4 linked regions of the Pelodiscus sinensis genome follow. The protein of the gene in region 1 interacts with the protein of each later gene in a pairwise test. Links are inferred from orthologs where the notes say so. Each region holds a gene or a part of one and is shown in the gene's direction. Other genes may lie near its edges. The genes, in order: HMBOX1, ASB7, ABITRAM and WT1.

Region 1 (7,531 bases):
TTATGATTGAAATCGGAGAGATAGCTCAAACTAGAATGCGGTCAGGACATGAGGGTATTCACTCCCCTACTTGTGACCTGTAATGACCTCAAGTGGTCAAGATGTCAAGATTTTGGTTTTACATCAAAAGACATTAGGTCTGGCAGCAAAGCATCTCCTTTTACATTATTTACATGATAAGTATGGCCATAATCACTTTACATATTGAAAGCACTTCTCACAGACATTTGAAGAACTAAATTGATTAAAACTGATTTTAAAAGCTAAGTTTATTTTTTAATAATTGATTACATTTTACTCTGTAGTGAACAAGGTAGATTTGTCAATTTCACTTTCTAGCTCTGACTCTGTTAATTAGCATAGGACTGAAATGTTTGAGTTAAAACTCGAGGAGAATGTATGCATCCACCTCTAAAGAAGCTGAAATATCATGGAGACATTTTCCTTATTAGATTTGTAATTGCTTAAGTACTCAACCATATGCTTTTGAATTCTGCCTTCTGACACCACAGCTTTAAGAGAAATCCTTGCAGTGCTGGAGCTTAAAGTGCATGCAGTGATGATTAAGTCAGTGGAGCTAATCCCGTGAAAAATTAATCACATGAATAAGTCCTTGTATGACTGAAATCGTATGTAACTACTGCCACAGACCCAGCAAGTGGGAAGAGATGTGTTGGAAAGACAATATAATTTTCTATAGGCTTTAATTAAACAAAGGCATTACAAAATTCAGCAATTAAGTGTTTTAAAATGGGTATACTACAATCCTCAGTGTTCAAAACTCTCTTGTTTTTAGAAAACAGGGTTATGTCCTTGATTTCTCTTGACTACATGGAATTCCCCCCCTTTTTTTCTTTTATGACTTAACTCAGTGTCCTGTATGATGTTAAAATAATGTAAGTTGTAGTATATTAACCTTTTCAATTTATTTCAACAAGATCATAAATTATTATTGCTTAAAGCTCATTAAAAACAGACCAGCAACATATCCCAAATATTGTGTTCTTGGGCTTGTCCAACTGGAAGGTCCAGTTTGCTATTTATTTTTTCTTCAGTTCTCTAAAAATGCAATTACACCCATCCAAAGCTCTTGGTATCTGTCCCATTAATTAAAGATCATAACACATGAACCACAGTTTGTCCACAAATATATCCACCTATGACCTCTTCAACAACCTTAGAGAAGAGAGAAAGAGAAAGGCTTTGAAAAGTATGTGGAAAATTAACACATCTGGGATTTGGCAGATCAAAGCAAGCAGCAAGCTCCAAATCAACAGACTCCTCACAGAGAATGCTCCACCATTTTATTTATGTTGAGTATGAGTGACTCTGCTGACTTGACATGTGGCAGTTTGGCAAGGGAGAGAGACAATCGTGCAGGGAACAAGGCCTCAAGCCATTCAGAGACTTATAGATTAAAATCCAACACTTCAAGTTTTATCCATAAACCAGTGCAGATTGTGCACCAGTGCTCTAAAGTTATGGATCTAAGCTAGTTATAGGCAGTATATATACAATGGAGTTTGCTGTTGGATTTGCCTTTATAATGGTCAGCAGCAGCAGCAAGAGCCTGAATAAAAGCCCATCAAAATCAGAGGTCATCATTCCATTGTCTTCACTGGGCTTTTGAGCAGGTGTCCATTGCTTAGGACTGGTGTGGATTTATTTTTGTCTTGTTCTTCCATATTTAAAACAAATACATGAGGGTCCAGGATGAAATTGCCAAAAAACCTGAATATCCCTTGTGACCTAAGACAAAAACCCAAGAAAAAAGAGCTACATAAGGACAGACAGGGTCAGGCCAAAGGTCCATCTATCCCAGTATCCTGTCTTCTGACAGTGGCCAATGCCAGGTGCCCCAGAGGGAATGGACAGAACAAGTAATAATCAAGGTATCTATACCCTGTTGTTCATTCCCATTTTCCAACAGAGGTTAGGGACACCATTCCTGCTCATCCTGACTAATAACCACTGATGGACCTGTCCTCCACGAATTAATCTAGCTCTTTTTTGAACTCTGTTATGGTCCTCCTCCGGCAAAGAGTTCCACAGGTTGACTGCGCATTGTGTGAAGAAATATTTCCTTTTTATTTGCTTTAAACCTGCTGCCTATTAACTTCATTTGGTCATGCCTAGCTCTTGTGTTATGAAGAGTAAATAGCACTTTCTTATTCGCTTTCTCCATATAAGTCATGATTTTATAGACCTGAATCATATAAACACTTTGTCAAAGGGTGTTGTGAAGGCTATTAGCCAGGATGAGGTCCCTAGCAACTGTTTGTCATAAGCCCCATGGGCAACTGGGAATGGATAACTTGGTTATTCCCTGTTCGGTTCATTTCCTCTATGGTGTCTAGCATTGGCCACTGTCGGAAGACAGGCTACTGTGCTAGATGGAGCTTTGGTCTAGTCTAATATCTGTTTTTATGTAAAAGTCTGCAGGTTTGGTACCTTCATCTACCTCTCCATAAATTCATTTTACAGTGATAAATTAAGCCACAGTGAAGGTAAGTGATTTTCTCCTAGTCACAAAACAAGCCAGAGATGGAGTCAGAACCCACAGGAGTTGCACCCCACAAGTCTGTGTCGTATTATAATACACACTTTGCCTGTGGGAAACTACGGTCATCTGAAGAAGTGGGTTGTGCCCACGAAAGCTCATGATACCATCTACATGTTTTCTTAGTCTATGGCTACATCTAGACTGGCATGATTTTCCACAAATGCTTTTAACGGAAAAGTTTTTCCGTGAAAAGCATTTACGGAAAAGAGCGTCTAGATTGGCACGGACGCTTTTGTGCCAAAGCACTTTTTGCGGAAAAGCATCCATGCCAATCTAGACGCGGTTTCGTGCAAGAAAGCCCCGATCGCCATTTTCGCCATCGGGGCTTTTTTGCACAAAACGATTCTCAGTTGTCTACACTGGCCCTCTTGCACAAAAGCATTTGCGCAAGAGGGTTTTTTCCCCGAATGGGAGCAGCATTGTATTTGCGCAAGAACTCTGACGATCATACCTTAGATCGTCAGTTTTCTTGCGCAAATTCAAGTGGCCAGTGTAGACAGCTGGCAAGTTTTTCCACAAAAGCAATTGCTTTTGCGGAAAAACTTGCCAGTCTAGACGTAGCCTATATGTTTTTCTATATGTTTTGTTAGTCTATAAAGTGCTACCAAACCATTTGTTGTTTTTAAGTTGATCCTGTACAGACGAACTTGGCGACCCCCCTAAGCTTCTGTTTTTCAAAGTAAGCCAAAGTCATCCACCTGTAAAGACTGTATCGCTCCAAGTTAAAAAAAACCCTCAGAATCTGGGTTCACCCATCCTGGGAGTGGCTTAGGGTCTCCAACTTTCAGACGAGGAGCAGCAGCATCTGATGATTTTCAGTGTGGGCCCCCCGACACACACACCCACCCCCCACCTACCCACACACCCACCCCCCTCCTACCTACACACACCCCCTACACACCCCCCCTACCCACACACCCACCCCCCTCCTACCTACACACACCCCCTACACACCCCCCCTACCCACACACACACCCCCACCCTCCCTACCTACACCCCCACCCCCCCCTACCTACACACACCCTACCTACCTCTCGGCAACACCCCCCCTCAAAAGCGTCCCCTTCTCTACCACCAACCCCTTCCTGCCCCTCAGCTTCTCACGTGGAGCCTCGCCGCGCCCGGGCCAGGGGCTGCTCCAGCCCCGCCCACCATGGTCAGGGGGCGCGCCGGCCCGGCCAGAGGAGCCCCGCCCGCAGGAGGACGGTTAACCGGTTAACCGTCGCATCTGAACGGTTGACGTTTGAAACGGGGCTCTACCTCCCGGAGCGCGTGGCCGGCTCCTTGACCCCCGCGCGGCAGGGCCTGGCCCAGTGGGCCCCAAGCCCCCGTCACAGTTGGGGCCTTTGGAGCCTCGCCTCACATACAGAGCACGACGCGCCGCCCCGGGGCCTGCCCCCGCTAAGTGCCTCAGTTTCCCCAGCGGTGGGGGGAGGGCGACCCCACGCTCCACCAAGGCTGAGCCCCCCCTCAAGCTCAGTAGACTCTCTAGGGCCTACTGCGTAGCCATGGCAACCAGGCCTGGCCTGAAGCCCAGAGGCAGGACCCGCCCCCATGCCCGGGACGGGAGCGAGGGGGGACCCTTCAGCCCAGCCCCCCCAAACAGACACTAGCTCCACAGACTCACCAGCTTCATGCTTTACCCGGCCGGCGCTATTTACTGTGACCATCCGCCCCTTTTCCTGCCCAGCCTCCCCCGCGCAGAGCATCATGGGACTCGTAGTCCTCTTGCCGCCGCCCGCCCCTGCCCAGGATGAAGTCATGCCCTGCCACCCCTTCCCCAGGTGCATCCTGGGAGTTGTAGTCCCTTCCTCTCCCCAGCCCCTCTCTCCGTCGGCGCGCCGTTCCGGAAGGGCACGCTGGGAGTTGTAGTCCTCCTGCCTCGGCTCTCCCCTTCACCCAGGGGAGGGGGGAACTACAAGTCCCAGGGCTGCGCAGCGGCGGCAGGTGGGAGCTCGGATGTTGATATCAACATGGCGCTTGCCAGACAGACAAAGACAGTCAGTCTGGTGTGATTGAGCCAAAAAAAAAAAAAAAAAAAAAAAAAAGGAGCAGGGGGGAGGGGGGATTTTCTCTTGGGGGGGGGCCGGAGAGGGGGGATTGGACGCGGAAGGATTTTCACCCCCATTGCTCCCCTCCCTCTGCACCCCCGTTATTGCCCCCCTCACACTGGGGCTGGGGATCCCCCACTTGCGCTCTTCCATGGTGAGGTGGAGAAGGGACCAGCGTCCAGAGGTGAGTGTTGCTGGGCGTGGGGGACCGAGCTGCTTTGGGAGGGGCATGGGAAGGGTCCCCTGAGCTTGAGCTGGGCCTGGCTGGGGGAGTTTAACCCTGGGATGGGGGGGAGCTTCCTTGAGCCCCTGGAGCACAGGCTGCGTGAGGCGGATTTGGGGGTGGCAGGTCCCCTTGCCCTGTGCTGGGTTTGGCGTTGGTGGAGGGGGAGATCCCCTTAGCCTGTGCACATTTTGCTGGGAGAGTTCAGTAGAAGGGATCTGGGTGGCTCCTTGTATCCTTGAAGTGGGGGCAGGGAGGTGTCTCCTAGGCAGGCTTGTTTTTTTGTTGTTTTTTTTTTTTGCTGGGGGAGTTCAACACTGTGGTTCGGTGGCCGTTTTCTTGCTTTCTTTGAAATACAGGCTGCGAGTGAGGTTGATTTTTTGGGGCGAGGAGGGGTAGATGGGTGGGAAAGGGACAGAATCCTTTTAGGTTGGGTTTTGCTGAGGAGTGTACTGCTGGGATGGAAAAGGCTGGTGGCTCCATGTGCGCTAGAAGCACACGATTGTGGGAGAGCAATGGTGTGTTTGGGAAGTGGGACTTGCACCAGGTTAGACTTGCTTCTGGTGGACTTTTTAGGGTTGGTCCTGCTTTGGGCAGGGGACTGGAATTGATGACCTCCTTAGGACTCTTCCAGCCCTGTGAGTCTATGATGGGTGGTGTCTGAAATTTGTGTGACTATGCACATTGCCTGAAATAGGGGACAGGTAAAGGGAAAGAGGACAGGGACAGATTCTGTTGCTGCTTGCAGGGTGTGTTGGGCTATTCTGCAGGCTGTTGTAGTTTTGCAGGGAGTTGAACACAGGACTAGGTGGGTGGGGTGAATTAGGAAAGAAGGAAGGCACCTTGCCCACTGTTGGGACATTATGGTGATGAGTGCACTATTAATACCTAGATTCTATTCTTGAGACACACAATGTGTGTGGCATGACTGACTTAAGGTGAAAGAAGAGGAGGTTGGTGTTTTTCGCGGAGGAATTTTATACTGGCCTATGAGGAGGACAGGGAGGGTACCTTTGAAACAAATAATATGCCTATGAAAGAACTTGGGAGAGGGAGGGTCCTTGTTAAGAGAAGAGACACTGTGTTGGTAGGGTCGGATGAGTGTGGGTGGATGTAGGGGGATGGCACAGTGCTTTTGTGGTTGTATGTCCAAGACACTAGTGATAGCTTACTACCAAAACAAATCTGCTTGATACAGAAGCAAGAGCATGCATCATGAGGAAGAGATAGGTGAGAATCCTAAGGGGATGTTGTAGCTGATGTGTTCAACACTGGAGGGCGGGGTGGGGGGGGATGGAGTGGACATAAGAGGGTGGCTCCTTGAATGTACGGGAGATGAGCATGGATGAGGTTTTTATTTTGGTTTTACTTTTAAAATGAGGCTCAGGTTTTGAGGTGGGGGGAAGGTGTTAAAATAATATTTATATTTTGTATCTGAGACATTGCTTTGAATGCCCGGAAAGTGCCTAAAAAGATGATGGCTGGAGAAGGTGGCAGAGAATTCTGTTAGGCTGTTACATTCTGTTTTTATTTTTTGCTTTGCTGTGGAGTTAAAAAATGAGCAGGATGGGTTTTTTTGAGGTGTAAGTATACATACAGCAAGGTGAACTGAGTTGGGCTCTTGCACCTCAGTTTTGGGTGGTGAGTTTTGGTGTATAGGAAGGAGTGGTTAAAAGTGCCTCTAAATGTGTCTGCAGGGTATTTTCTTTGGAAACAATTTTTGCATTAGCCCTGAAAAATCTTTTGATCATATGTTTATTTCCCCCTCCCCCTTCAAATAGGGGAAGGAAAGAGTGCCTTTTGGGGTTGGAGGGGAAGAGGAAGTATGAAACATATTCCCACTTCCCTGTCTGTGAAGTCCTATCGACTCAGTTTATTCTGGAGCTCAAGTAACACTGGCAACACAGAGAGAAGTGTCTTCAAGTGCTGAATGCATGTGGACTGAAAGTGGAGGATGTTAAATGTAATGGCCCAGGACATTGAGTTGGGAAAAGTAAGTCTGTTAGGTACTGGCTGTGTGCTCTTGGCTCAATAATCAGAGGGACTAGATAGATTGAACTCATAAAGGAGATGCAATTTGCATGAATGATGCCACCCGAAATAAAGTTGTGTTGTATAAACGGCTTGTGCTAGGCAGTCAGCTCATCTTGCTAAAATCCCGGAGCGCCTGTCTGGATCCCGTGATACCACTAGCTCATTTCTGCAGGGCTCATCAGGTGCAGAAGCCTCTCTGCTTCCTTCCTAGGATGGTGCAGCTGGCATCTGATTTCCTCTATGGATGGGAGAGGAGGAGTCCTGTGCGATTGTTTTTTTCCTTTGAGATGATTGCATTTTCCTTGGCCTCACTGTTCCCTGCCTCATTAGTAGAAACTGCATCTATATTTGTTTACCGCAGGCATGCCAATGGGGATGCCTGGAGTAGCGGATAGTGGGTCTATGTGAATTCATCACAATAACATGTTTATTTTTTCCCCTTCCATTGTTGTACAATTATCTTAGGGGACAGTTCTGCAACAGCAGGCTGTAAACTTCATTTGTTTGAGGTTTTTTGACCCTCCTTTGCTGCATTTCTGAGCTAAATCTTTAAGGAAATGATTGGGGACAGGCAGCACATTACATACACATGATTGGAACTTCTTTAGCTTCAGACAGACTTTGTCTTTGGTTATGAAAATTATTTGCCATCTCTCTGTT
Region 2 (7,462 bases), on another chromosome or scaffold:
TATTTCCCCCGGTGGGTAATTGAGATTTACCAATGCTCGGTAGAGATCTTGAAGTTTCTGATCTCTGTCAGTGGGATTAGAGCAGATGCGATTGTACCTAAGGGCCTGACTATAGACCAGTTTCAAGTTAATATCCAAGTTTTCATACCCCCTACTCATAACTCCAGTATCTGAAGAAGTGGGCTGTGCCCATGAAAGCTCATGATACCATCTACATGTTTTGTTACTCTATAAAGTGCTACGAGACCATTGGTTGTTGTTTTTTTTTTTTAAACACATTATAAAGACAGCTTCCCCACTTATCACCCCTGATTAGCCATTCATTGACTTATAAACAGCTATTCCCTTCTTCCCTTCCTCCCTCTCTCCCCACCTTCTGTTCTAAATCTGATTTGTCAGTTTAATAATGTGTTCACTTTTTTCACAGTATTCCTTTGGTATATATGGTCATGCCAATTCTCTTTCAGAATATGATTTGAGGAAGTGGGTCTGGCCCATGAAAACTCAACGTCTATTAAACCATCTTGTTAGTCTTTATAGTAGTACATAGTTTTTCCTTTTGTCTTAAAAAAATGGAGATTAATGACCAGATATTGCACATAAGCTCAATGGGAGTAATATGCAAATACTGAAAAAAATATATAAAAAGTTTAAAAAAAAGACAATCTTTCTAAAAGTGTACCAAAGGAGTAAAAATAAAGTTTTCCGCTACCAATTTAGGAGAAAGACTGGATGGCTAAGTATGATTCAAGGTAGTTGCTAACTGTTAGCCATCCAATCTTTCTCCTAAATTGGTAGCGGAAAACTTTATTTTTAGTCTTTTTTTTTTTTTTTAGTTTTTTATTTTTGTCTTTTTGGTCTTTTCCCTCCACACACACTGCGGGATTGCTAGCTCCCCTTCTCTCCCCCACACACAAACTCTCTGGGGATACTGCCTTTCCCCCAGCTCTGGGGCTGTTGCCCTCCTGGTTCTGGTGCTACTACCCTCCCTCCAACTCTGGGGCTGCTGCCCTCCCTCCAACTCTGGGGCTGCTGCCAGGGGACCGGGAGCCAGAACTGGCAGGGGTGGCCTGCTGCTTCGGCTACAGCGGGAGCCAGGCAGCAGATCACTTCTACAGGAGCTGGTGGGGACGGTCGGCCTGTGTGCAGGAAAGGCAAGTTGAAAATCCCATGATAGACAGACAAGAACGGTGACAGCTTAATAGAAAAATTGTCTAATAAGAATTGGTCCCTCACTTTCATAAACAGAATAAAACAAAGCGTATGTAACTGCATTAGTTAACATCTACATTTTCCAAATTAGTCTCTAATTCTGGGTGCCAAACTCCAGAAGCCATAAGCCTGATTTCTAGGGCTGCTAAAATATTAGCTAGTGGTACCCAGCATATATATAGTACTTTTTAGCTGAACATCTCAAAGTACTTTCCAAAGATAGCAAATATTCCCATTTTATATATGTGGAATCTAAGAGATAGATGGATAAAGTGATTTGCTAAGGTTATGTGGCAAGTTAGTGACAGATTGAAGTATATAATCCAAGTGTCCTGACAGTGACTACCATAACTAGACCATATTGCCTCTGAGGCAGAATCTAAAATTGGGATTGGAAGATAAGACAATCCACAATGGACTATAAACGTTATGGTAGCATGCATTTTTTTACATAGACATCCATGTATTTTTGAGAATATCCTTCCACAGCACTTGTTGACTTGCAGTTTTAGAACCTTACAATGTTCCTCAACCAAATTTCAGTGAGGCTACTGTAGGGACCTCTATCAGTTCACAAAGCCTGAACTTTAAATATTAAGAATAAATCTGATACTTCAGGCTACATATTTACCCTTCATTTGTGGAATATACTTTGAATTCTACCTAAGATAGAAAATTATCTGAAAACTCATAAAATTTATTTGTGACTATTTTATACAACACACTTTACCTAAACAAATACACATACATTTATTAATACACTCAGGACCAAACTGAATTACTTCCCTAAATGTTAAATGAATGGCTCTCTTGTGTACCAGTTAATACAATGCAATGAGGCTGTTAGGGTGAATCAACTTTAGAACTCTTCTAGGACTAGCACTATGAAATATTATCTTTCCAATACACTAGTGCTTGCACTTTCCCAGATTATATATTTTACAGCACCATTAATTTACATAGTACTTTACCAAACTTCAATAAACCATGCCACTTGTTTCAAAGACCTCAATCTAAAATAGATTAAAAAAATATAGGATACCAGGTCAGGAAAAAGTGAGTGGTGATCATTACAAAGTGGGACAGGATTGCTTTAAAAGATAGGTTTTAAAGGGTGAATTTGAAAGAAGAGATGCCAGAGGACAACAGAGATATATTCAACTATAGTAAGACAGCATGGCAGATAACTAAACAGGTGAGGAAGGGAGTAACAGCAGTATGACAGTAGGGATATGTAAGGAATAATGTACTCCAATTATATCTAATATTATGGCAGCTCCTAGAAGCCAATCAACAGAACGACCCAGAATAAGACACAATCCCTGTGATGACGAATTTGTAATGTAAACAGACGAGACAAAAGATTGAGAAAAAAGAGATATAGCTTACAAGCAGCATGAGTAACATAATGATTGTCAAACATCATGTAAATTTCATTACTGTTTTGGTTTGATTTAAATACAAATCACAGGGGTTGATAAATAAGGATTACCTAAATAGAAAGCAAGGGAAGAGAGACACTAAAGGAAAAGAAGGGAAGGGATCAGAGAAGGAAGCATGGAAAATAGTTTATTTGAGGCCAATAAATTTTGAGGAATACCATAAAACATGTAAGTCAATGGCTAGTCACTAACTCCACAATATCTCTAAAATGGAATTATGAAGTCAATATACATTTTCAGTGTGGAGTACTTAAGCTAAGTCCTATATACAAAAATCCATCACTCATTTGATAGTGACTAACGAAACAGTTGTTTTCAAATCACATTATCTTCTACATTCTCAGACTACATCTTAAGTTGCAAGTGTTTTTTTTTATTACAGCTGACATGCAGCTGGATGGTATATTATGACTCACATAATACAATTAGCCAAAAAGCATGTGTTTCTCACAATCATGATTAAAGGAAAGTCCTGTTAAAACACTATGTTTGTTTTACTTTCAACTTCATTAAAGTAGATCATATTAAAATACTATTGCATGGAAAGCTTCTCTCTTTAATTGCGGTCTTCACAAACAGAAAACAATGGTGGTTGCAACTCTGATGTATGAAATATGGGGCATGAGGATTCTCTAATTTCACTGAAAGGCTTTTGTTTGCGTCAAGGAAGATCCACACTTAAATCATGAGGTATAAACTAAACTCTGGCTCTCTTAACTTTGTATGCGGGTGGAGAGTTGGGGGTTTTTAGCTTATAGGCTTGCCTTTAAAAACTGTTACATTTCCGGTCTCTGCGTGGGAATAAATATTTCCAAGGTAAATCACAGTTTGACCTTCCTGTCTGTGCAAACACTTTCCACCAATTGTGAGGTGTGAACCATCTGCTGTCCTGATGGTCTGCAGTGTCGTTATAGATGGGCTGATTCCTAGATAGGAAACACAAGGTGGGTGACGTCATTTCTATTATTGAACCAACTCCTGTGGGTGAAAAAGACCACCTTCAAGTTCAAAGTTTAGACAGACCTGTTTTTTCCAGGTCTGGGAAACCAGCTTGGAAGCTGGTCTCGTTCACCCACAGAACATTGGTCCAACAAACTGTATTACCTCTCCCACCGTCTGCCTCCGGATTAGAATTTAGAATGTCACTTTTTCACGGCTGGTCCTTACAGAAGAAAAAAACCAACCACCCAGCCAATATCCTTGCTGAGCAGCGCCATAATTATCAGCACACAGTGGGGGAAATTGCCTCACTCCCCCCCCCCAGTGGTTTTCATCCTCCAGCCCCAAAACGTGCAGGCCACATCGGGATGCGAAAGAGCAGAGCCAACCCCCGCCCCCAAAGGCTGCGCCTCAGCTCCCCCCGCAGCGCCGCCTCCTGCTTCCCACACCTCCCCTCCCCCTTCCCCTTCCTCGCACCCTCGGCCCAGCCTCCTCACCCCCTCCCGCCAACGCCTCCGGGCTTCCACAGCCCGGCCGCCAGCGCAACCCCCTCCTCCCGGCCCAGCCGCCCTCACCGAGCCGCCTCAGGTCCCACGCTCAGCCATCGCCGCCCACCCAGGGCTGCTAGGCAACCGCCTCGCTTTACCCGCCCTCCGGAGACGGGGCGCGGGAGGGCCCACTTCTCCCAGGACAAATTCGAGCGCAAGCAGCCCTTACCGTTAGCTGTCGCAAGGGCCCCCCCTCTTCCCACCCCGCTTTACGGCACTGGGCGGGGAGATAAACGGAGTCACCCAACCCGGCGCGGCGGTGGTTTACGGCTCGGGGCGGAGCTATGGCGGCGGCAGCGGATTGGCTGCGGTGGGGGTCAGTCCCTGCCCAGTGACCCCGGAGTGAGGAGGGGGGCGGCTCAGTCAGTGTAAAGTGTCCCCACAACGCCCCCGGCTGGGTCTGCGGCTCCCCCCACTCCTGAGCCAGTGCCAGTGGGGGGAGCGGCCGCGGAGCGACCGCCGGTCCCGCCCCCCTCAGGAGGAGACAGGTAACGGCTGAAGCCCGCTCTGTCCCGAGACCCCGTCAGGGGGGCGCCTGCCGCGGGAGCGCTCCACCCCCGCCCCGAGTCTGCGCCCCCTTCCCATGGGACTCTGCGGTGTGTGGGGGAGGGGGATAGTCTGCAGCCCCGTGCTCCTCTGAGACTGGGGGGGGCACTAGCCCATCCCCCCCGGACAGGGTCTGGGGAGGAGTATTCCCGCTGTGGGGCTGAGGGCCACCCCCCGCTTTGGCCCATGGTTCCCTTGAGACGGTCTTTAGGGGGGGAGGTTATCTCCCCCCACCCGGCCCAAAGTCCCCGAGGCTCTTCCCATCGCCCTCATCTCGCTGACTCTTTCGAGGGGGACGTGCTCTTCGCTCGTCACTATCCCCTGCCCCCGTCATGCTCCCAAGACTGTTATGGAGCAGAGCAAATCTGCCCTATGCCCCTCTCTTAATCCCCCGCCCCCGTCACTGCACTACAGGGGGTTCACGCTTCTCTTTTCCGCTGGTCTCTTTTCAATGCCTCGAAATTCCCTGTTTTGTGCGCTGCTCCCTTCCCCACCTTTCAACCTCTTCCCCACTACTGGGGTTCTCTCAGCAAATTTTTGGAGGCCTCATAGTGTGGCCACTAACTTTTGTGGTGGCCACTATGAAAATTTTCCTTAAAATATTTAACTTCAGTGAAAATAAATAAAAGGTGGAAGATTTATGTGATCCGAAGAGAAACATACACACATACATGTCCAGATCGTTATAATTTATGTAGATTTTTTTTAGACTCAATAATAACATACAGTTGTCCCTATTTTTTACTTGCCCTAAATAAGAATAGAAACAAAAATAAGGGGCTTTGCCTGTTGTTGTCTTTTGTTGTTGTTTTTTTTGCTTTTTTTTTAGTTACAGGTTTTTTTTAAGACTAACTAGCTAGTAAGTTGTCTTTTGTTTAAAAAAAAAGATATTGGTATGTTTGTTAATATCGCTTTTTGCAGCCAATTTATTGGCTAGTTCGGAGGCAGTAAAAAGTTATATTAACTTACAAATATCACTTTCCATCACAGACTTATTCAGCCCTGGTAGGTGAAGGATAAATTAAGCCTTGAATGGAAAGGTGGGTAGGGAGGTAGCAAGGACTGGGGTATTGGTATGTATGTATAGGTGAGCGGCCAGTGACTGCAGTGGGAGCTCAGGGTAATGGGGGAAGGCAGGGGAGAGTGAGCCCAAAACTCAGTAGCTGAAGTCCAAAACCCAACCAGTGTCTGTGCAGCCAAAGTCCAGAAACATGGGTGGAGTCCATGACGAACCTGCTGGCCTGTGGCCACAACCTGTGCCTGCCCCTTCAAGGCTGACACTAGAAGCCTGAGCTCCATCACACCTAGGAAAGGGGGGAAGTCGCACTGCATTTCTGCTCTTCTAGAGTGCATATCTCCAGGGCAGGGCCCAACCCCTCCTTTTGACCCCCTAGAGAGGAGTTGTACCTTCCCACTCCCCATTTTTCCAATCACCAGCTAGGAAGCTATGAGGGTAAGAAAACTTGTGTTGGCCACATTTGAGAAATGATGCTGTAGATTTTGGTTAGGCCGTAAAAGCCCATTTCTTGATCTTAGATGTTTCTCTAGCCATCCACCATTACTAGGCGTATGAATGTTTAACCAGTAGGGGCTGGAGCAGCTCCTGGACCCACTGCAGATTGGCTGCTCTGACTGGCTGTTCAGAACAGCCCCTGTCTGTGGTGGGCCCGGCCCAGGTGGTGCACCACAAACGGGGACTGTTCGGATCAGATGGCCAGTCATAGCAACCCTTGTTTGTGGTGGGTGGGCTGCTCCAGCCCTAAACAGTTAACCAGTTAAACATAATGTTTAACCAGTTAATCAATAAAACCGAATTTTACATTCCTAACCATTATCCTAGGATTCTGTTCTGGACCATCTGTGTTGCGACCTCAAAACCATGCCTGGTAGGTAATCTTCTTCTCCGAGCCCAACCTTTGTTCCTCAGAGGTCCCCAAGACTTTGTTTTTTGGTGAGGACTTGGGGACAGTTACCTTCCTGCTTTTTCTAATTCTCCAGAAACTCTGATTTTTTCTGTTATTTTCTGCCTACCCATTAATGTTCCTTGTTCCTTACTTCAATTACAATGAGACCATACTTTGAGAAGAATCTCTTGCTGGTTTTTTACCCACATTAAAACCCCAAATATTCCATATGGTTCACTCCTTCTTTTCAGTTTCCACTTTGGGGAAATACCCTGTGCTTCCTTTCTCTTCATTCTCCCTACTTCAACCTTGACAGTGTTTTGGATGCTAATTCCCTTTATCCTCCACTTCTCACTCATCTAACAGTACTAACTCCCTCTTTTCAGGCTCAAGCTGACTCAAGGGAGACTTGCAAACTGGGAATGCAAAGGAGAAGATACAGACTGTAAGAAAAATTGAAAGTGGCACTCAGTATAAAGGTGATAATCCACCTTCATTCTTATCTTGTATCCCAAGCCAACCCTGCATGTCCACACAAGCTTGTCTGGATGCTTATGGAACCCGTTCTTATTGGCTTTCTTGACTGATTTTATGTGAGTACCTAGGATTAGATTTCCCTCTTAGGTGTTTTTTTTTGTGGGTTTTTTTGGGGGGTTTTGGTTGTTTTGGTTTTTTTTTTTTAGAAAAAACAATTTGCTCTTTGGCTTAAAAAAGTAACAAAAATTTGCAGTATAGGGAATGAACTTTTTCCCTTTTCTGTGTCTTGTTCTGCACTTTGCGTTCTCATTTGATAAAATAAGCTCCAAACATTTATTTACTTTTTTTGTAGGTTGCAACTTCAAGATCTTTTTGTGGCTTCTCTCTTTAATAA
Region 3 (7,240 bases), on another chromosome or scaffold:
TTGCTAATAAAAATGAGCAGAAGTCAAAGTGAAAGGAATCATTTGAATTATGTTTGTTTAAGCTGAAGTATGGTGGCTTTTATAAAGGACTCAGGTTGTCATAAAAAATTGATTAGTTATTCTCTGAAACAGAAAAAAATGCCTATGTTTGAACAATCATATTTTGTTTTCAATTAATCAGACTGATGAAACAGCAATGTTTGACCCTGCCTCTTCAAAATTGCAGAGATACACAACACTAATATTGTTAGGATCCTGAAATACTCACCTCATCTTAGGACAACACTTTTATGCTAGATCGCCAAAAGGTCATAAGGTCACATTTTGCCCAATTAGTATGCATATTTGCTAGATTTCACTCAGTTGGAGAGAGAGAATGTTTTCTCTGGGATTAATTCACAGATAATCTAACTCAGTTTAAGATTAAATATTTCCTGCATGTTTCCACAAGCCATTTTGGGTTTACGTGGGACTCAACACATGGCCCGTGGGTGGGAGCCAAAACAAAAAAGTACTCAATATAATGGTCTTCTGTTTATATGCGTTTTAGTACAGGCAGTCCCCGGGTTATGTACAAGATAAGGACTGCAGGTTTGTTCTTAAGTTGAATCTGTATGTAAATCGGAACTGGCGTCCAGATTCAGCCGCTGCTGAAAGTGACCGCCAGTTCTGACTTACATACAGATTCAACTTAAGAACCCCAAGTCAGCTGCGGCTGAAACTGATCAGCCGCTGATTCCAGGAAGCCCGGGGCAGAGCAACTGTGCCTTGGGCTTCCTGTAGTCAGCGCTGGTCAGTTTCAGCAGCGGCTGACTTGGGGACGCCTGGGGCAGAGCAGCTGGGGTGCTGCTGGGTTGCTCCAGTAGCGCCGCTCCTCGGCGCTACTGGACCTACCCAGCAGCACCCCAGCTGCTCTGCCCCAGGCGTCCTGATTCAGCCGCTGCTGAAACTGACCAGCAGCGGCTGAATCAGGACACCTGGGGCAGAGCAGCTGGGGTGCTGCCGGGTTGGTCCAGTAGTGCCCAGAGTGGCACTGCGGGACCAACCGGCAGCTCCCCAGCTGCTCTGCCCCAGGGTCCACAACAAAAGCCTGGTCTGCTGGGGGGGGGGGGGGAGCACACTAGCTGGGCCCCCCCCCAGCAGACCAGGGACACGGGGAGCAAAGGTGCAGCGGCGGGGTGCCTCGCCTCTGAGGCTTTGCTCTGGCGCGGGACCCGCCGCCGCTGCGGCTTTGCTCCCGATGCCCCTGGTCTGCTGGAGACGGTCCCCAGCAGACCAGGGGCACCGGGAGCAGCTTTTCTCGCCCCGGAGGTCGATGTGGCTGACCGCTGCCTTCGAGCTCCGGGGCGAGAAAGCCCCGTTCGTAAGTCGGGGACTGCCTGTAGTTAAATGTCTGGACTGTCATTGCTTATTAAAAGTGCTGTCATATGGGTAGAAATGGGGTGAATATTGCATTTTATTAATATCAGCAGAACTGACTTACATGGGGCCTGTGTGTTGTGTAGTCTTGCCTTAATCTTTGTCTTCATGCCCAACAATGTGATAGAAGTCATGTAGGAGGTGAGCATGTGGCTGGTGCCCTCCTTTTCTTCTTCCCCAGCAGTCACCACTGAGGTTATGTCTAGGTCAGTGTTTCTCAACCTTTTTTTATAAAGTACCCCTTTAAAAAAAATTAAGTACCCCCACTACCTAGTTTTCAGACACACACATTTTTTTCTACCATTGCAACACATTTGTTTAAACAACTTAATTGTAGCCAGGTGGGTGATGAAATTTTTGGGTGTAAAAAGTACAAAAATAATAAAACGTTGTAAAACTTAAAACAAACATTCAGTTTTCTCCAAATTCAGTTGTGTTGAGGTACCCCCCAGGCTTCTCTCGAGTACCCCTAAGGGTACTCGTACTACTGGTTGAGAAACACTGGTCTAGACTACATCCCTCTTTCGAAAGAGAGATGTCAATTAGACAGATCGAAATTGCAAATGAAGCTGGAATTTGAATTTCCCGCGCTTCATTTGCATAATGGCAGCCGTGCATTCTTTCAAAAACGGGTATTTGAAAATGAAACCACTGTCTAGATGCAGTTCTTTCAAAAAAGAACCCCCTTTTCAAAAGATCCTGTACTCCTCAAAAAATGGAATAATAATTGGTCAGCTTTCAGAATGGAGAGATGTAACTAGTGGTGTCCTACAAGGGTCCATACTGGGACCAATTCTATTCAACATATTCATAAATTATTTGGAGAAAGGGGTGAACAATGAGGTGACAGCATTTGCAGATGATACTAAACTGGTCATTACAGTTAAGTACAAAGCAGATTGCAAAGAGTTTCAAAGGGATCTCATAAAAATAAATGGGCAACAAAATGGCAGATACATTTTAATGTTGATAAATGCAAAGTAGTGCATATTGGAAAACAATCCCAACTATATATAAAATGATGGGAAATAAAGTAGCTTTTTCCACTAAGGAGAGATCTTGGACTCATTGTAGATAGTTCTCTAAAAACATCCATTCAATGTGCACCAGCAGTTAAAAAAGCAAACAGAGTGTTAGGAATAATTTTAAAAGGGATAGGGAATAAAATAGAGGATATCTCACTGCCTCTATATAAATTCATTGTATGCCCACATCTTGAATACTGCATGCAAATATGGTAACTTCATTGTCAAAAAACATATCTTTGCATTAGAAAAAGTTCAGAAAAGGGCAACAAAATGATTAGGGGTATGGAATAGTTGCCATACCAGAGATGAGTAAGAGTGGTGATTTTCAGCTTAGAAAATATGAAGGGGGGATATGATAGAGGTCTATCAAATCATCACTGGTGTGGAGAACATGAATAAGGAAAAGTTATTTACTTGTTCCCATAAGAACTAGGGGTCACCACATTAAATTAATAGATAAAAGGTTTTAAAAAAACCAAAACAATATTTCCTCACACAGACTGCGTCTACACTGGCATGATTTTCCGGAAATGCTTTTAACGGAAAAGTTTTCTGTTAAAAGCATTTGCGGAAAAGCGCGTCTAGATTGGCATGGATGCTTTTCCGAAAAAGCACTTTTTGCGGAAAAGCGTCCGTGGCCAATCTAGATGTACTTTTGTGCAAAAAAGCCCCGATCTCCATTTTCGCGATCGGGGCTTTTTTGCGCAAAACAAATCTCAGCTGTCTACACTGGCCCTTTTGTGCAAAAATTTTGCGCAAAAGAGGGAGCAGCATAGTATTTCCGCAAAAAGCACTGATTTCTTACAGTAGGAAGTCAGTTCTTTTGAGGAAATTCAAGCGGCCAGTGTAGACAGCTGGCAAGTTTTTCCGGAAAAGCGGCTGATTTTCTTGAAAAACTGGCCAGTCTAGACACAGCCAAAATGTATAATCAACCTGTGGAACTCTTTGTTAGAGAATGTTGTGGAGGCCAGGACTTTAACAGGGTTCAAAAAAGAGCTAGATACATTAATGGAAGATACATCCATCAATGGCTATTAGCCAGAATGAGCATGAATGATGTCCCTTATGGTATGTGGCTGTACCTTACACATACACAGCATGTGTGACTGTGTAACATGTACGCAGGGGCAGCCCATGAGCCTAGGCAAACTAGGCAGTTGCCTAGAGCGCTGGCCCGAGCACCCCGTGATGACGTCATGGCCATTGACAGCTGTGCAGGGGGAGGGGGGCGCCAATTGTGTGGCCCGCCTGCTGCCGCAGCTGGCCTCAGGCAGCTCCTGCACATATCCGTGCGTATGCTGAGTGGCTGTGTTACACATAACCGGTCATAGGGTTGCCAGATGGTGTTAACAAAAATACCGGACACACTTGACATTACATCACAATCTACATTACATCTTATTTAGAAAATACCAGACATTTATATTTTCTCAATTTGTTTCCCGAACAGATACAAATACTGGACTGTCCGGTTCAAAACTGGACACCTGGCAACCCCGTGTGTGTGTCTGTGTGTGTGTGCGCGCGCTGTGACTGCTGACCCGTACCCCGTGTGTGTGCTGCGTCACTCTGTACCTCACCTCCCCAGGTGTGACCGGTGTGACACGCAACCACATGTGCAGAGACGACTCGGGGACGCTACCTCTGCGCTACCTCGTGGCTGCCGCGTTGTCACCCCGCTCAGCTCCGGCCGGGGGGGGGAGGGGCGCGCGGCTGGGTGTGCGCGAGGAGACACGGGTTGAGAGGGCACCGCCAGCGGGAAGCGGGCTGGGCAGAGTCTCGCGCGCTGATTGGCTGGCGGTAACCCCGTGACGGGGGGGGGGGAGGAGCGGGCATGGCCGCGGCGCCGGGTGTGACGGAGCGTTACTTCACGCGCTGGTACAAGCCAGGTACCCGCCTCTCGTCACGCGCCGCGGGGGGGTCCGGGCCGGGCCGCTTCCCCTCCCCCCCCCTCCGGTCACCGGCCCCTCCCTGCCCGGGGGCCGAGGCAGCAGCGGGCCGGAAGCCTCGCGCGGGCTTTAGCCGCAGCCCTGGCCGCTCAGTTGAAAGCCCCTCGCCCCGCTTGGGGGGGCGTGTGGCGGGGCGGGCGGCTCTGCGCGGGATTTACGCTCCTTTGGGTGCCTCGGAGCGGGAGCAGCGGGAGCAGCCCAGCTCCCCTGGCGCACGTGCAGGTGCCCTGCTGCAAAAATGCCTTGGGCCAGTGCAGCTGCCTCCAGTACGAGGCTGAACTCCAGCATAAGGCAGCGGGGTACCAGTCTGCCCGAGCCCGCAGTAGGGTTGCAGGTTTCATTATCCGGGTAAGAAAACAGGCCCTGCGTCTACGCTGAGGCAGTTGCTTATTATGCTGACCAGTATTGTCTCATGGGGTTGATTGGACGCGTTTTCCTGTACCCGTCTGTTGTCCCTTGTTTCATACATTGTAAACTTCTCGGGTCTGCAGAGCTGTATCTTTGTTCTGTGTTTATATAGCAGCCAGCACAGTGAGGTGTTGGTGTGTGACAGGGAAATACAGGTGCAGGTGGAACTGCTCTAGTCCAGCATGCTCAGGACCCTACTGGTGCCAAACCAAAGAATTTGCCAAACCACAAAGTCAGTATTGTCTAGTGGCATTATCAACAATTCCACTGTTTACTAGGGATATTAATGTACATGTGTGTACATATACATGATTAACCAATAAGCCTGAGCTCATTGGTTAACCAGCATAATTACATGCACCTCTCTTCCCGCTGCCCCTGTATCAGAAGTGTGGGTGGTGGGAGATGAGAGCCTGTGTTTATGGAAGCCAGCTTTAAATAAACTAGGCAAATACAATTTAGATGGGACTACTATAAGGTGCGTGCACAAGTGGCTGGATAACCAGGCAGAGTAGTTACTAACGGTTCACAATCCTGCTGGAAGGGCATAACGAGTGTTGTGAGCAAGACATGCGAAGTCCTTCCAATTCTACTCTGCGCTGATTAGGCCTTGATTTGAGTATTGTGTCCAGTTCTGCACACCACATTTCAAGAAAGATGTGGAGAAATGAAGAGCAACAAGAATGATTAAAGGTCTAGAGAACATGAGCTACGAGGGAAGACTGAAAAAACTGGGCTTGTTTAGTTTAGAAAGGAGAAGACAGAAGGGACATGTTAGCAGTTTTCAAGTACCTAAAAGAGTGTTACAAGGAAGAGGGAGAAAAATTGTTCTCCTTGGTCTCTGAGGATAGGATAAGTAGCAATGGGCTTAAATTGCAGCAAGGGAGCTTTAAGTTGGATATTAAGAAAAACTTCCTGTCAGGGTGGATAAACATTGGAATAAATTGCCTAGAGAGGTTGTGCAATCTCCATCTCTGGAAATATTTAAAAGCAGGTTAGATAGACATCTGTCAGGGATGGTTGGACCAGTGGTCTCCAACCTTCTTACACCCAAGATCACTTTTTAAATGTCAGTACAAGCCAAGAGCTACCCCATCCCTTCCTCAACACCCCACCCTTTCCTTGAGGCTCTGCCCTCTCAGTTCCTCTTCTCGCCATCACCTGGTCCTTATACAGTCTTAGGGTACAGCTATACTGCCGTTTTTTTTCTCTGATCCTTCTGCTGAAAGAGATTTTTGACATTTGGCCCATCTAAACTGGGCCAAATGTTAGAAAAAACTCTTCTTTTGGAAGCCCCCTTATTTCTCGTGGAATGAGGAATACAGTTGCTGCCAAAAGAGCGTGTTTGCCTAAAAACCTCCTGTAGTCTAGCTGTATCCCCAGTGGTTTGAAACAGGAGGTGCAGGCTCTGGGGTGGGAATGAGGGATTTGTGTGTGGGAAAGGGTGAGAGGAGCAAGCTCTGGGAGGGAATTTGGATTCAGGAGGATGTGGAGAAGGGGATGCTGGCTCAGGGGGCTCCAGGCTGGTAAGTGTTGGGCTCAGGTGGAGGGTTGGGGTGCTGAGCAAGCCACAGGCTTGTAGATGTGAGCGTGCAGGATTTTGGGTTGGATTGTGTGAGGGGCTCAGGGCAGGGAGACAGGGAGTATGATGGGCTCAGGACACAGATTTGCAGTGTGTGAATGGTACAAGAGTGTTGTGGCAGAAGACTGAGGATGTGTGGGTGCAGGAGTTTGGGGATGAAAGGCTCAGGACAGGGGGTTCCAGTGTATGATACGCTCAGATTTGTGGTCTGGGTGGGAGGTACATGAGTGTTATGATGCTGTGGCCAGATGAGGGCTTGGCCCCAATGGGCGGCTTGTTGGCCAGGCTTCATTTTTAAATAAAATATTGTGTCAAACACAAAAAGTTTCAGCATTGTCTTTATTATGAGAGGGGTGGGGAACCTGTTTTGAGTCAGCAGTCACTGACCCACAGAAAAGTCAGTCAGGGCCATGCAAGTCAGATACAAAAACACAACCCCTTCAAACACCTCAAGGCTCACTAATGTGGCCCCAACTGTGCTGGTGGGGGCAGGGAACAGGGTGCTGGGACAGGATGCCAGTGGGTACTGGGGTAGGGAACAGGGTGCTGGGGCAGGGGACAGGGTGCCTGTGGTTGCTGGGGCAGGGGACAGGGTGCCAGTGGGTGCCGGGGCAGGGGACATGGTCTTGAGGCAGTGTGCTAGTGGATGCTGGGGCAGGGTGCCGAGGCAGGGGCCAAGGTGCCGGTGGGTGCCAGGACTGGGTACTTGTGGGGGTCTGGGTGGGGGGAGGGGACAGGGACTGGTACCTGGGGATCCTGCAGCTGCGCGCCAAGGCCTAGGAAGTGCGCAGGCTGCTCCCCCAACCTCCAAACAGCAATGCGGTACCTGAAATGCTGGTTCGTCATGCTCCGGG
Region 4 (7,698 bases), on another chromosome or scaffold:
ATCAAACCCTGATCAGCTCCCTGAGTGAAAGGAGACAGATCCCTCTGTTTGCACTGAACAGCGTGAACAAAGATCGGGATTGCTGGAAATTTATCTCTGTTTAAGTCATTCTCCCCCACCCGCCGAGCCAGGAGCGGATCATTTATGGTGCTTAGTAAAGCGTAATAAGAATGCTCATCCAGGAATTGGTAGGATGGAAGGAAGAAAAATCAGAGGGGGAAAGCCCACAGAGAGGAAACGCTGCAGCAGCGTGGATAGTTAGATCCCCAAACCCATTTTGCCGGGGCGCTCTGCTCCCGAGGGCTGGAATAATAAACACATCTGCACAGTCTGAAAGCACTTTCGCAATTCGTTATGGAAAAGTTGGAAGGGAGATTAAACCTGCGTCCGGGGTTGAACCCATTTCTAAGCACGGGAGGGCTGCGTGAGGCCTGGTGGGAATGGGGCACTGAAATGATCGCTCATCTGGCTCCAGGGGCTTTCACACCTTCCGCCGAAGCAGCTGCTCATGGCCACTGTCCGCGAGACTGGCTACTGGACTCCATGACCGCAGGGCTGACCCGGTCTGGCCTGTCCTCTGCTGTGTGAGGCCCAGGGACAAGGTTCTGAACTATTCTAAGTTGGGTAATTCTGCGGCGGCAGTGGAGTGACTCCTGATTCACACTGGTGTGAGGTTAGACTCAGGCCTCCGAATGTTTAAAAATGGGGCGGCTGTAAACAAACCTATATTTCAAGGCTCTTTTTGGAGCAGGGAAGGTGCCTGGCCCTCTTCTCACAGGGAGCTTTGCGCCTGAGATCTGAAAACGCACTTGGGAAAGACTCGTTTCCTTCAAAACACACACACACACACACACACACACACACACACACACACACACACACAACACAGTTTCCTTGCAATCGCTTTCACTCTGGAAAGAAGGGGGCTCTCCGCTCAGCCGCTGTGGATGCATGTGCTACCCCCTTCCTGAGTTATCGGACACACTCCCGCCCTTGACATTTAGCTCTTGTGTGAAAACAACTGCAACAATAACCGGCAGCTCTAGCAGAGGTATTTTTAACCTGGGGCACTATTGAATGTGAGGAAATAGCTGCAAACGGTGGGGATGGCGAGTTACCAGGGGCTCTCTGTGATGTCCTCGCAGATATTTTCCCTTGATCATTGGCAAGGGAGGCTAGTTGGCGAGCAAATTGATTTTTTTCCCCACACAGTCTTTTATTGGCGTCCTTGCTTAGCCCGGTAGTAGAGACAAAAATAGAAGTTTCCAAATTGGTATATTTGTGCCTTCGCCCTATGGGAGCGTTTCCTGATACATGCCCCTGAATCTGGCTCTTTACAAAAACTGTTTAAAAGCGATGGCTTGATAGATTCGGGAAGGTGTATGCTTCCCTAGCCTATAGCCAGCCCGTGTCTACTTAGCATTGCAGCTGAGGGCAGGTGACACTCTCTTAGGGACTGTGTGTAACCTGTGCCAGTCACAGCAAGGGACATTTCCGCTCCTCTCTCCCCATTGATCTGTAATAAGACATGGTTTAACTAATTAAACTTATTTTGGAGGGTACACGTTGACTTGTTTCCCTACGCTCAGTGTCTGTTCTTAGCTGGAGCGGGTGCATTGGGTATAAAGACAGAAGCAAGGTGCTGGAATTTATTTGCTCCTTGTTTGAATGTAAAGTTTGTTGTTCATTTGATCCTATCCACCTGATACAAGGGAAGATTTGGAAATGCTTTCTGAGTCTTCCCGGCTGTCTGAATAATGCAGTCCTGCCTAATGAGGAAATTACTTTTCCAGTTCCCTAAAACGTCCTGAAACTTCAACAACGCAAACTACTTACTAAAGAACAAGATAATCCCCTTTTCGGAAGACGGCGCTTGTGCTCAGATCCCTAAACAGACAATTGTCGAAGAAAATAAAATACTAGATATTAACAGCTCAAAATGTTCATTCCCACCTATGTTTTGTAATATCTAGCATTGGAAGTTAGTTAAATTATAAAGCCCTTATAAACATCTTAAAACAAGCCAATGCAGTAAGGACTGTAGCCAGAGGAATATTTACCTTTCAATGGCTCAAAACCGCTACTCCAGCTATAGGAACAAAAAGACATGGTTATAGTTTTTTCAGTACTCGTTAATTTGTACCACATTCGGAAATAGAAAAGGGGACAGAAATAAGAAAAAACCCCAAACCAATCAGTGCAATCGAAGCTTGAACCACCTCGATTCCCTTGAAAGAAAGAGTTCTAATTGCATAAGCAATTTTCTGGGGCTAATACCAAACCGTCCTTTTTAGTTTAATCCTCACTTAAAAATAAACCTTCACACCTAAGGCGATCTTTGATTATTACAACAGCAACATTTCGCTGATTGCCTCTGCTTTAATATCTGTTTCCTTTTCGAAGTAGTAAGACCAATTTGCTGATTTTGAATACATTTGTTTAAAGTTATTTCGAAAATCATGTAGTCTAACCACTTAAATAATTAACGCGACTAAATGTTGTAGTTAAGGGAGAAAACAAATTCAGACCCTCATCCTTAACTACAATTATTTGCATCACATTGGATTAGTTTAAAACATACCATCTGAACTCATAACTCTTAGTGATCACTTCTGATGCTGTGGGGAGGTGAAGGATTAAAGAGAAAGTTGCTATGTAAACTACAAATTCGTTTTTACAGATAAATGCTAATTGCAGTTCGTTGAGATTGTAAGGAGGGTTTTTTTTTATTTGTAAGTTCCCGAAGCAAAAGCGTGTAGGGTGGGTGTTCGAGTGAGACTGCTGCATTTTGTTTAATATTCTAAATGTACCATAGAGATGTTTATGTTATATGCAGATTGAATTATGCGGAGGGAGGGGATGCAAAGTACACCGAAGGCGTGGTTTGGATGGGTTTCACTTCTCGTGGAATATACATGCAATATCAAAATATGCCTTCGAGGGACTATCAGAACCCAGTTTATATGAAGCAGATGATTTACTTTGAAAGCAGGAGGCAGCCTTACAGGAGTCCCTATTTCGTGTTTGGAAAGAGAATCCGTGCTTTCAAATCCGAACAAACTACCATCCCTTTATTGGCTGATCAGGGCAGAGAAAACCAACGCGACAGACTGCTGGGAGACGGAAGGTGGGTTTGTATCGGTCTCTTTCCCTGCTGCAAGTGTCTGTTGGCCGCAAACAAAATCCATTTCCATGGGAGAAACTGCCGCTTGTCCATCTCGAGAGGAGGGGAATTGGAAAGAAATTTCACACGGGGGAGAGTCAGCGGGTGTTTGCAGCCCATGCTTTCTAATGACCTCCCTCCGCGGTAAAGACTTGATCCAAAGCCCATTCAAGTCAATGGTAATGTTCCCCGTTCATTGGAGCGGCCTGTGGATCAGGCCCTAATTGTTCATAGCCCCGCAGTTAGGATTCCACTCAGCACATCTCATTGCCAAGCGGGACCGGGCGAGCTAGAGGCAGAGCGCGGAGCTGGAACTAAGGGGGGCGGGGACTGGACATCTAGCTAGGGCAGGTGCTAGCCTCAGCTGCTCGTTAGCGCCCTAAAGCGTGCGCTACAGTGGGCCACCGCCCTGCGAGTCGTGGGACAATGTCAACTGGGGGTCTGCCCGGAGAAGGGGCAGGCTCGCTAAGGGCCGCTCTGGCATCGCGCCTCGAAGCCACCCGCAAGCCCTGCTTTGCTGGGGATCCTGGGAACCCCGGCCCTACGCTAGCCCCGTGTGGGGGAAGGACTTGTCCAGGGCGGGGAGGGGTGCGCCAGGTGACTCCTTGGGAAACAGAAGACGATTAGACGGTCCGCGTTAGGAATTGTGCACGGCTCGGAGGCGGGCTGCCTGGCCGGACCCTTCCCGGGGGGGCTGTTTCATGAAAACGCCGGTTTGCTTCGCAGGATTCGGATCATCCGTTTAAAGAGACTGACTCTCGCAGGCCTCTGAGCCCTGGCCAGCCAGTTCCAGTCCCTTCCTGCGCACCCCGCCCTGCGAGCGTTTCGCGTTCATAGCTCCGCTCCGCTTCAGCTGGGGCTTCGAGAGAGTTTCCCACCGCCATCCGCGCACGCTAACTCCCCACCGAGCCCCGAGAGTGTGTCCCGCTGCGACGTGCGGGGAGCCATCTCCCCAGTGCATGGACAATTCACTCCGACCCCCCCCCCGCGCTAGGCGGCCCCCCCAAAAGCAGGCCCATTAGGTGGTCCCCTGCCGGGCAGCGCACTTACTGGAGCCAAGTCCGCCGGCCTTGCGCGCAGTGGCCGCTTCCCCTCCGCAGGGGCGTTTCGTTCCGCTGGGGCCTTTGGCCACGAGAGACTTGCGGTGACAGGACACATGCCTCTGCCTTTCTGGACATGTCCTTGCTTCGCGCCTGCGGCTCGTCCCAGCCCGGCCCCCGGTGAGCCACACGCGCGCACTGACGGGCCACCTGGCGCCCGCTCACCCGCCGCTTGCCGCCGACTCTCGCTCCCCAAGCCCGAGGGCGGTCCGGGTTCAATGTAGCTGCGTTTGCACCACGGGGTGGAAGGAAAGCGCAGGGGAGAGCGCGCCCCGCCAGCCCCCCCTCCCGGGCTCTGGCTTGGCGCAGCGGGCTGGGCTTGTGTGAATGGAGCATCAGAGCCCCTGACTCCTCCTCCCGGGCAAGCCCCGCTATTTGAGCTTGGGGAGGTGGAGGGCGAGCGGGCAGCATCCGAGTAAGGTGCTGGAGGCGAGTCCCGCGGCTCTTCCCAGCCCTCTCTCCCGCTGCTGTCGGAGTAAGCGGCGACCCTGGAGAACAGCCTTGCCCTGGCGCTGCTGCCGGCTCCCGCGGGGCTGGACCCGGGCGCTTGTGTTCCGGAGCAAGCTTCGCCCAAGGGGCTGAGCTCGGCAGGCTGGTTCCTGCAGCCGGAGCCGGGCTCCGGCGTGGCGGGCAGGGGGCAGGTGGCCTGGAATAAGTGCGGCCCCGGGGGGGACTGGCTGGCCGGCAGGAGGAAAGTTTGCGACCAGATGGGGTCCGACGTGCGGGATATCAACGCCCTGCTCCCCTCCGTGTCCTCCCTGCCGGGCAACAGCAACTGCAGCATGCCCGTCAGCAGCGCCGCGCAGTGGGCGCCCGTCCTGGACTTCCCCCCGGGCGCGTCCTACGGCTCGCTGGCCCCGCACTCCTTCATCAAGCAGGAGCCCAGCTGGAACGGCGCGGACCCGCACGAGGAGCAATGCCTGAGCGCCTTCACCGTCCACTTCTCCGGCCAGTTCACCGGCACCGCCGGCGCCTGCCGCTACGGGCCCTTCGGCGCCCCCGCGCCCAGCCAGGCGCCCTCCAGCCAGGCTCGCATGTTCCCCAACGGCCCCTACTTGCCCAACTGCCTGGAGAGCCAGCAAGCCATCCGCAACCAGGGTAAGACCGGGCGGGGGCACCGGGCGGGGGATGGCGAATGGGACTCTCCCGCGTAGGGCTGCCAGCCTCACAGGCGCGTAAACACAGCCCGCCGGGCAGCAGCTGGGTCAGGTAACGCTGAACCTCGCGGGCCGCCTCCTCCTGCAATTCAATAGACCACCACTACCAGACACCTTCCCCTCAGGCTTCCGCCGGGGCTTGGTGTGTCCCTTTGGGCCAACATTGATGGGACCGGTTCTGCCAGCCGGGGCTCTGCAGGAACTTCCATTGCACCCCGGCTTAAACCGGGCTAGCCATTCGCTCGGCCTCTCTTTCGAATACTATCTGAAGTGGCCTTGCTGGTCTGCTCGCTCTTCAGCCGAGTTCCAGTTCAGCTTCCCACTTAGCGCAGGTGGGTGGTTCGCTCTCGTAGCCCGTGAAACTTTCCGCTTGCACAGCTTTGTGTTCAAGTGCGACAGTCCAATGCCGGGCAAGGTGCTCGAAAGAACTGATTTCTAATGTCTCTGGTATGACGTTGGGATGTATCCTAAACTGCTAATGCGTCGTACATAAGTCGCTTAGGTTAGAATGTGCTTTTAATCTGAAGCCCTTTTATTTGTTTAACTTTTAGAAACTGTGAAATAACACGCCCACTTTCCCCTCTTCAGTAATCAGCGAACTGTGGCATCTCCCATAATTGGCAGATATTTAAAAAATAAACCTCCGAACTAAGCAAACATTGGGATAAAATTTAGATATTCTCAATGTGGTGTTGTAATGTCATCTCCGACAAAGTAATCCCTGTGGTATTTCCTATTTTCAATACCCATTTAATTTACAAACATTAAATTACCAGAAGAATCTTTTAGTAGAAATTCAGCAATCCATATGCCTAGAAAGATAGCTATAATCTAATCATTTTCCTTCAATCTGCTGTAATTTAAATATCAGCAGACGTGGCCGTGGAAGGAGGATATACCAAGCAACATGTAATAAAGTACTGCCTTTCCCCCCTTTCGAGGAAATAAATGCGTCTTTTTTATTCTATGCGCAATTCTGTCCTGGTGAAGCTGAAGGCTTGCAATGGCTCCTCGATTAAGAGTTTCCTCTGTTAGAGGTACTTCATCTAACCAACTACTAATTAATTGTCTTAAATGCATCTCAAAACTCACCGGAAACCTAACACTGGGAAAATAGAATTATAGGTGGGACACCCGTGAGCTAATGAGAGCTTTTAAGAGACACTAAATAAGGCCGGATCGGGTTTTTAGTCAGACGGAAGAGACTTTCAGGCCGGTTGCATGATTTCTCAACGAACCCCTCCTGAGCAAAGGTGTTCTGTCTGCCCTGCACCAAATAGAGCTGTTGCCGCTGCGTGGACACAGACGCTCAGGAGTATGTGTGTACACCCACAAAGTGTGCGTGCGTGTGCAAACACACACACACCTGTCAGCTTCAAGAAGAGAGTTTCTTCTGCAGAAGGAGTGCAATATTGGCAGGGCCGAACCGCTTACCTTTTCAGGTGCCTCGTTGTAATGCAGATTGGCGGCCCATCACCCCGATAAAGAAACGGGCCTTTCATTCGTATTTGAATTGCGTGGAATAGGCATTGGGGAGGCAGAGTTAAGGCTGTGCAGAAAGATGAAGTGTTTGAACCTCATCATTTACTACCTAATTATTGTAGCCACTGCGTTAGAAAAGCAGTCCCGAAACCCAAATGCGAAGCTCGTTGAGTCTCGAGCAGTAAACGTAACGTGTCTCTGAGCTGTGTTCATGTCCTTGATCCCCAAAGCAGTTCAAACGCCTTGTTATTGAAAAGCGATCTCTCGAGTAACTATTGGAATTGTCTGTGGGGGGGGGGGGGGGGGGGATGGCAGATTTATTTGAGAACTGAGCGTGTGCGCGCGCCGAAGGGCGTTTTTGTTATTTTTATTGTTTTTAAAACACAGAATACTGGGCAGTGGAGTAGCCGGGGGTACCGGAGTACCGCTACTCTCCTTCACCTTATGTACAATAACGCTATGGGAAACTTAACCTTTCGTGATTTGCAAACTGAAGAGCATTCATCTTTCCAAATACCCGCTCTGGGTTTTTTGTTTGTTTTATTCTGGCTTTTTTGTAGTTTGGGCTCGGCTAATGTTGGACTTTTAATGTTAAGCCCTTTTCGCACAACCTACGGTCTCCAAAGAAGTTATTCTATGTTTGCTTACGTTTCAAATTATGTCTGCAATGTTCCTGGGGTATTCCAGGAAACAAACAACCAAACAAACAAAACTGAAAGAATTGGGGAAAGCGAGCCACTTCTAAGACATAGACAAGGGCAGTATAGCTAGCAAAAGTTTTTTTTCTTACATTTTG

What was found.
Region 2: the proteins of HMBOX1 (region 1) and ASB7 interact in binary tests that used the Homo sapiens proteins (3 or more experiments, as listed by UniProt). The two-hybrid records come from large-scale screens. The link is inferred for Pelodiscus sinensis from reciprocal best matches to the Homo sapiens genes HMBOX1 and ASB7.
Region 3: the proteins of HMBOX1 (region 1) and ABITRAM interact in binary tests that used the Homo sapiens proteins (3 or more experiments, as listed by UniProt). The two-hybrid records come from large-scale screens. The link is inferred for Pelodiscus sinensis from reciprocal best matches to the Homo sapiens genes HMBOX1 and ABITRAM.
Region 4: the proteins of HMBOX1 (region 1) and WT1 interact in binary tests that used the Homo sapiens proteins (3 or more experiments, as listed by UniProt). The link is inferred for Pelodiscus sinensis from reciprocal best matches to the Homo sapiens genes HMBOX1 and WT1.

What each region holds. Positions count from the first base shown.
Region 1 is NC_134713.1:4,737,595-4,745,125, reverse strand, and holds the start of HMBOX1 (homeobox-containing protein 1), read left to right. Parts: upstream 1-4,519; 5' UTR 4,520-4,798; intron 4,799-7,531. Other genes in the region: INTS9 (integrator complex subunit 9), read right to left, coding at 3,668-3,718. UniProt on the Homo sapiens protein: Binds directly to 5'-TTAGGG-3' repeats in telomeric DNA. Associates with the telomerase complex at sites of active telomere processing and positively regulates telomere elongation.
Region 2 is NC_134724.1:7,682,590-7,690,051, reverse strand, and holds the start of ASB7 (ankyrin repeat and SOCS box protein 7), read left to right. Parts: upstream 1-4,445; 5' UTR 4,446-4,629; intron 4,630-6,527; exon of another isoform or gene 6,528-6,573; intron 6,574-6,977; 5' UTR 6,978-7,184; intron 7,185-7,462. UniProt on the Homo sapiens protein: Probable substrate-recognition component of a SCF-like ECS (Elongin-Cullin-SOCS-box protein) E3 ubiquitin-protein ligase complex which mediates the ubiquitination and subsequent proteasomal degradation of target proteins.
Region 3 is NC_134712.1:144,204,840-144,212,079, reverse strand, and holds the start of ABITRAM (protein Abitram), read left to right. Parts: upstream 1-4,227; 5' UTR 4,228-4,281; coding exon 4,282-4,336; intron 4,337-4,366; exon of another isoform or gene 4,367-4,744; intron 4,745-7,240. UniProt on the Homo sapiens protein: Actin-binding protein that regulates actin polymerization, filopodia dynamics and increases the branching of proximal dendrites of developing neurons.
Region 4 is NC_134714.1:97,900,658-97,908,355, reverse strand, and holds the start of WT1 (Wilms tumor protein), read left to right. Parts: upstream 1-4,687; 5' UTR 4,688-4,970; coding exon 4,971-5,361; intron 5,362-7,698. Other genes in the region: uncharacterized protein LOC112546777, read right to left, coding at 4,214-4,674. UniProt on the Homo sapiens protein: Transcription factor that plays an important role in cellular development and cell survival. Recognizes and binds to the DNA sequence 5'-GCG(T/G)GGGCG-3'. Regulates the expression of numerous target genes, including EPO.